Linked DNA regions of Cricetulus griseus. The protein of the gene in region 1 purifies or fractionates together with the protein of each later gene. This does not show direct contact. Links are inferred from orthologs where the notes say so. Each region holds a gene or a part of one and is shown on either strand. Other genes may lie near its edges.

The links. The genes of interacting proteins can lie anywhere in the genome.
Region 2: the proteins of Ofd1 (region 1) and Cep20 purify together in Homo sapiens (co-immunoprecipitation; 3 studies listed by BioGRID and IntAct, with this or other methods). This does not show direct contact. The link is inferred for Cricetulus griseus from reciprocal best matches to the Homo sapiens genes OFD1 and CEP20.

Annotation. Positions count from the first base shown.
Region 1 is NC_048604.1:101,192,458-101,195,969, forward strand, and holds part of Ofd1 (oral-facial-digital syndrome 1 protein), read right to left. Parts: intron 3,362-3,512; coding exon 3,288-3,361; intron 1,962-3,287; coding exon 1,870-1,961; intron 586-1,869; coding exon 396-585; intron 1-395. UniProt on the Homo sapiens protein: Component of the centrioles controlling mother and daughter centrioles length. Recruits to the centriole IFT88 and centriole distal appendage-specific proteins including CEP164. Involved in the biogenesis of the cilium, a centriole-associated function.
Region 2 is NW_023276807.1:75,497,011-75,501,019, forward strand, and holds the start of Cep20 (centrosomal protein 20), read right to left. Parts: upstream 2,813-4,009; 5' UTR 2,684-2,812; coding exon 2,656-2,683; intron 2,522-2,655; exon of another isoform or gene 2,216-2,521; intron 75-2,215; coding exon 1-74. UniProt on the Homo sapiens protein: Involved in the biogenesis of cilia. Required for the recruitment of PLK1 to centrosomes and S phase progression.

The DNA of each region.
Region 1 (3,512 bases):
CACTAGTGGGAGGCCCCCCAGCAGGGACTGCAGGTTCTCTTGCCTGAGAGACACAGTATGTCCAGACTGGTGTACCTGGTGAGCAAGACTAAGAATAGAAATAACTACAACTTCAACTTCCTCTCCCTGCCTTGCTCCAAGTGCTTCCTGGCTCAACTGAGGCAACAGTCAGAGGGCATGAACCCTGAAGCCACCCATAGAGGCAGTTATTTAACAAATATTACTTAGAATGAAACTATGAATTATGCAAAAGCAAGCAAAAAGAAAGCAGCTGCAATATAAGGATCTTAAGATTCTCCCAACGTAAGCCCCCCTTACAGATAGGAAGATGTTCTATAATCCTGACCTACTGTAAGTTACAGAAACATGCAGATCAGAAAAAAAAAAAGACATACGGTCTAGGAGACGTAAGTTCTCATTCCTATTCTCTTCCAGTTGCTGTTTAAGTAATTTATTTTGTGCCTGAAGCTCCACTTTCTCTTCTTTCAGTAGTGAGTAATCACTCATCTCTTTCATTTTTTCATTCAGCAAGTGGTTTTGTTTTGACATTGCCAAAAACTGGGCTTTGACAGACTCTAGCTCCAGCTAAAATTGAAAAAGGAAAACTTATATCTGAATAACTTTCACAGCACTGCAAAGGTAAAGGCAGGAAGGCTGTCTGAATCTAAGCATCATAAATGAATAAATGACAGTGACTACCAGACAGAGGTCAGGCTCTCTGCACTGGTGATAAGCCAAGGCAAGCTCAGAACCTATATCAATAGACCTTTGTCCTATGAAGTAAGTAAAGAGTGTATGGTGAAAAAAAAAGTGTATGGTGAATGCAATTCCCAAATGTCACCAATACAACTGCACAACTTAACAAGACATTTAAAAAACATGAACAGATAAAAGGTGGAAACAATCTCTATTGCTGTGAGGTGCTTTCCTTTTCTTAGTCTTATATGTCCCATATCTGAATCTGAAAGTCTACACAGATCTCCTGGCTGAACTAGTAAATTCCACCTATAGTATATACTTCAGTTTGTTTTAGAAAGGGTCTCACTTAGCTCTGTTTGGCCTGGAACTCAGAGATCTGCTTGTATCCTGGGTGCTAAGATAAAATGTGTACAGCACTACACCCAGCTACAATCTCCTTTAATTACCTTAAAGTTCTAGTTTTGTCCATTACATGACAAGCAGTATAGTACCAGTGGCATGTAAAAACTTTACCTTACTTTGTCTAAAAAAAATCTGTAAGAGAATGATGTAGTGATAGAAAATTTTAATTGCTACCAATGGAATAGAACAGGCTAGGATAGAAGCTAAGATATACTGGCCATCTGTTATGGGTAGTTCACCCAACTCACCCAACAATCATGCATTGTTAGAAATATCTCCAAGATTATACTCACAGAATTTGCCAAAAGGCACATAAGCAGTAAGGGAGGGAGACATGATTTGAGCAGCAGGACTCTTAGATTCAAGCTCTTTTTCTATGTCTCTGTGTGCCTCTGCTTGAAATTAGAACCTACTGAATTCTAACTTCAGGTATCACCTTCTTAATCATAAAGTAATCAGCCCAAGCACTTCGAAAGGCCTAAGGGGATGGAGAGAGAGTCCAGTGCTACGAGCACTGACTGTTCTTCCAAAGGACCTGGGTTTGATTCCCAGCACCTACATGACAGCTAAGAACTCTCTGTAACTCCAGTTCCAGGGGATCTTATGCCCTCTCTTGCCCTCCAAAGGCACTGTATACACAGGCAAAATTCCCATAAACATAAAATAAAAATAAATAAATCTCAAAACACCCCAATGTTCTCTGTAAATAATAAATAGTATTAACTCTAACATCATTAAGGAAATTTAAAAAATGGGTTTAACAATTACCTCAACTTCTTTCATACGATTTACAGATTTACTGAGTTCCTCCTTTTTGGAATTAATAATTGTGAGCTCCTCTTGCAAATGAATAGTTTTTTCTAGGGAATAAAAAAGAACCAGTTAAATAGTGATTTCCTACTGAACGTAAGAGACATTTAATAATTTGTGGCCATTCTATGAGACCTAATCACCATTGTTTCATAGAGTAAAGCAACAAGTGTATAAGTCAAAAGCTGAGTGAGCAAATAAGAAATAAGGCCCATTACGCAACATGTGACAAATCACATGTCATATATGTGGTGAAATTCCTAGTACATGCAAACCAGCTATTCCATCTGGGAAGGACATGGACCTACTAACAGAGCCTACTTTCCTTAAAAAGCAAAGACGTCTGTTTTTCTTCTGTAGTTTGTCCATTGTTTAACACAAAAGTCCATGCAGATAATATCAGAAGGAAATTCAATAAATTTAACTACACAATAGTGCTAAACTACAAGAGATGCATCTGCTTCTATAAGACATGAGCAAAAGGAGCCACATAGTTGGTATCTAGTCAATAGCAAGTAAGCAGCTCTGGTTTACTTCAAAAAGTGTTTGAAATTTCCAAAGTTCATATTCTTTTCACTATTTCCTACAAATATATTAAAATGTAAAATATCTGAAAATTGAAAACTTACTCAACTTCCAGTGTCTGAGGTCAATATAAACTTGAGAACTATGAAACCTGGTCATAGAGGACAGAGAAAGTAAAATTTCCTATAATGGGGCTGGAGAGATGGCTCAGTGGTTAAGAGCACTGGCTGTTCTTTCAGAAGATCTGGGCTCAATTCCCAGCACCCACATGGCAGTTAACAATCTGTAACTCCAGCTCCAGGGGATCTGTCTCTCTCTATTGGCCTCCACAGGCATTGTATGCACATGGCATACAGGCATATGTGCGGGCAAAACACCCACACACATGAAACAAAAATAAATAAATATTAAAAAATAAATTAAAAGCCAGTGAAATGGACCAGTGGGTAAAAATACTTGCTCCTAAGTCTGAAAATTAATTTCAATGCTAGGGACCCACATGGTAGAAGGAAAAAGACCAAGTCTCATAAGTCCTCTGACCTTCACATAGCACACAAACCCCTCCCTCTGACAAATAACAGTAAATAAATGTTTTGTAAAAAGTGAGCCAGGTGGTGGTGGCTCACGCCTTTAATCCCAGCACTCAGGAGGCAGAGGCAGATGGATCTCTGTGAGTTCGAGACCAGCCTGGTCTATAAGAGCTAGTTCCAGGACAGCCCCCAAAGCCACAGGGAAACCTTGTCTCGAAAAAAACAAACAAAAAAAGTGAAAGCTATATTTAAAATATACAATAGATGTAACTTAGGAGGCAACCTATTTCAAAATTAAAACAAGGCAGCCACCCATATCACCTTTAGTCTTCCTTTCTTCTTCCAGTAGTTTATTTGTTCGAGCGATGTATTCATCCTTTAGTTCCAGTTGGTATCTGAGAATCAGAATGACTAAGATGAGGTTCTTGCCATCTCCCTCAAAAAGACCACTAACCCTAAGGTTTGTGGCCCAGCATACCTAAGAGTGCCAACATGGCTGAGGAGAAACTTCAAAGTCTCCGTTCTAAGACTAGGCAACTGAATTCT
Region 2 (4,009 bases), on another chromosome or scaffold:
GTTGAAAATTTCAGCACGGATCCTTGCTTTTAAATGTCCTAACACTCCCTTTTTTTCCAAGGTGTCCTTTAAAACTGTTAAATATGAAATATAAATGGTTCTGTTATACACTAAATGTTGCAATTTCAGGTATGCGCTAAGGAATAATGCTTGGGAAGAAAACGACACAAATGTAGCTCTTGGTATAAAGAGAAAGCTCATTACAATAAACACATACAAGTAAACATGGATGCTGAAACTTTTTGGGGTATGTTAGCTTTTATTTTCTTTTAAATTTCATTTTATATTGGGGGGTGAGGTTGCAAGGGCAGAGGGTGGATATAAAGGGATGGGGAGATGAATTGGATTGGGATGCATGATATGAAATCTAAAAGAATCAATTTTTTAAAGGTCACCATCCCCTAATAGTAATCTGGAACCTTCCCTCTTCAAATAGTCTTCTGTGGCTAAATGGCAATTCTAGAATACAGCAAGAGCTCACTAAATGTTACAAACGTATAACACCAACAGTGCCTTATACTACTGGTTAAAAGAAATGTTTATTTTGTTTTTTTTTTTTTCACGACAGGGTTTCTCTGTGTAACAGACCTGGCTGGCTGTCCTGGAACTCACTTTGTAGACCAGGATGGGCTGGAACTCAGAGATCCACCTTCATCTGCCTTCAGAGTGCTGGGATTAAAGCTAATCGCCACCACTGCTCAGCAAAAAAGTATGTTTTAACTCTGCATTTTGCTCTGCCAATGGCAAAAGCGTTATTAAGATGCCACAATAAAATTCATAACACAGTTTATCCACTTAGGTACAGACAGCAAAGTTCCTAAGCTTTGGTAAATAACAACATCCTTGGTCATAAGATTAAAGATATATACTCCTAGACTTATCTCTCTTCTTTGTTTTTAAAGCATCCATTCATTCCTTCAACCTTTCTGCAGGTATACTAACTGCAGTTGTCAACCAATTACACTTGGTAACAGACCCATAAAAGGAAAGCTTTATCATACTCTTAGGATCATAACACAACCCTTGTTCTCTAGTTCCATCTTTGGAAATTAAATGGAGAGATTCTTTTCTACTGGCAAGCATCCTGTCCCAATTACTCTGAAGTACACACAGTACAGCCTCAACCTTAGCAGAAAATGAAAAGTAATGAAGCTGCAATTGGGAAAGGTGGCATGTCCTTCATGTCTTGGTGGGCATATTCCTAACGATGCCTCAGCGGCCTTTTCTTTGGTAATGAACCCTGCCTCTCAGAAAGACCTAGGTGAGATGGAAGAGTATTTTAAGTGAGTAAAAGGCCCATAAAATGTTAAGATTATTGATTAGAAAACAAGTTTTCATTACATTTCTCTTGGACACAAAGCATATCAAGAGCCCACGAACATAGAAAAACATGTAAAGAGGCCCCTAAATCTATAGAGATCATTCCTAACCTTCAGGTTCTCACTTTCTGGTTTTTTTTTTTTTTTAAATCATTTTACTCTTTGAGGTTTTATGCTTACAACACTGTTACCATAAAGACTTCTTCAGGAAGTGGTCTTATTCTGACTTATTTCCCACCGAAATATCTTGAAATCCTATGCGAAGTTTATACAATATCATGAGTGTTAATGTATCCCTCCCACTCCCCAAAAGTGCTCTACTGATTCAAGGGAAGTCCCTCCTGGGGACTGAGACATACCTGTTGTTTTTTTTAATTGCTCACCAGCACAGTGCTCCCAATACACATTTAGTCAATGGTTACTAAATTATAGTCTCCAAGCTACTCTCCTTGGTCCTCTCCAAAATTTTCACTACCACTCATTTAGTCTCTGAAACTCAGAAACGGCTTTATTCATTGTGAAGCAGAATGGCATGGCGATTAAGACCTGGTGCAGTACTGTATGTACCTTATAGGATTTCAACACCAGTCTATTTCCACCTAAATTATCTTGGGTGAAATATCCCACCTCTCGGCACCTCAACTTCCAGGTGTGTGAAATGGACAAGAGGGTTTGTTGCGAGGAATCAAGTAGTTGTTGGATGAGTTGTGTCTGACACAGAGAATCACACACTGAATCTTAACGAACTACAATTATGACTCAAACATTAACTACAGTTACTATTCAGAGTTAACAGCTGCACGTGTTATTGATGGCTACTCTTTTGTTCTGTTTTGTTCTGCAGTGCCCGGGATGGAACCCAGGGCCCTGCACGTTACTGCTTTGGAAACACTCACTCTTCCCGAAAGATCCCATAGAACCGTCAGGATGGGCAACTCTGCCTTAGGTTTGTCCCACAGGACAAGGAGGACCTGTCCACCAATCGTTGAGAACTGTGCCACCAATCGTGTGTGGCTGCGGTGTTGCCATGCTCAGTCCTGAACACAAGACCTAGCCTTGGCACTGTCGGCTAACCAGGGTTCTGAAGACGCCCAGACGTCAGGAGGACAGGCCTGCAGCCCTCTCGGGGACTAACGATTCCAGTCCCTTCCGGCCATCTCCAGGCTGGCCCTCCCGCCGCGCATGCGCAGCGGGCGCTCGCTCTCGGGCGCGGCCACCTCAGAACGGCCCCGGGAAAAGCCGAGTCGGTGTCCGCGCGCTCTCCTTCCGTCCCACCCCTGTCACAGACGCAAGGCAGGGCGCTTCCCACTAGCGAACGCCTCCTCAGCGCACTCACCAGCTTTCAGCTCAGTGACGGTCGCCATTTTTTAACGGCCCCGGGCCTTACGCCTCTGCTGTGCGTGCTGCGTGCGTACGCGCGACGTTGCGGTGTGGTCTCCAACCAATAGGAGCTCGGACCTCTCCAAGCGCACCCTCTGCGGGTTCTGAGTCTGCGGTCGGGTGATTGGTGAGCCGTCACCAGAGGCTCTACCAATCAACGAGCGTGTGAGGCGGGCCCTGATAGGGAAAGGGGCGGAACCAGGGCCGACTCACCTCAAAGACGTCTCTGACCCACCCTTGGGTCTTAATGAATCGAGGACCAAGAGTTGGTTTCTCTGTCAAGTTCCCGGATGCTGTGAACGTCGGCTGATGCTAGTCTGAGGAATAGCAAGCACCTCAAGAATCACCTTGCGGAGGGCACTCACTAGGAAGCCTTTACACGCCTCAGGTCAATGATGCCCATTTTACAGAGGAGGAAACTTGAGTTGTCAGTGGTGAGCAGGCTTTCGTCAGGATCACCTGCAGAAGGTGGAGGTGATACCCAAACCCAGACTCATATCTCTTCAAAGCCCGCCCTCTACGCCAGCGTTAATACTGAGTACCTGTGGAGTCCCCGGGCTATTTGTGGAAATAACTGATAAAGGAATAAGATGTAGCATTACAAAAAGGAAAAAAAGAACAAGAAATAGTACTTTTAAACCTCGTGAGGCAGTATGACTACAGCTGCCTCTCCAGGGAGGCCAAAAGACACTGTTAAATAAGAAGCAATCTTGACCTAGATTCTAAAACTGGACCCTTAAAATTCTGGACAGCCCAATAGTAGAAGTCTATTAGTTGATGCTAGTGAGCATATTTTCAAGCAAGTGAAATGTGATAAGAAGTATAGACTTAAAAAAAATATTGTGTAGTCCAGGCTATCTGGGCATTCACTCTGTAGCCCAGGATAGCTCTGAACTAACGGTTTTCCTGCCTCTGTCTGAGAGTGCTGGGATTTTACCAGTGAGTGCCACCATACTGGTACAATTCATTTTTGTTATTAAATTTGCCTCAGGAAGATACATGTGTGTTCTTCCTCGGGTTGGGTTTGTTCCTATTTATTTATTTATTTATTTATTTATTTGGTTTTTCGAGACAGGGTTTCTCTGTGTAGCCTTGGAGCCTATACCGGCACTCGCTCTGGAGACCAGGCTGGCCTGGTAAATGCTGGTTTAGGTTTACCCTCATCTTAGCACTTGGGAGGCAGAGATAGAGGCTCCCTGGGGCAACGTGTCTAACTAGACTAGTCAAATCAACAAGCTCTGAGTTCAAGTGAGAAACTTTGCCACATTATAAAAGGTAGAAAGCAATGGAGGAAGACACTTAAAATCAAA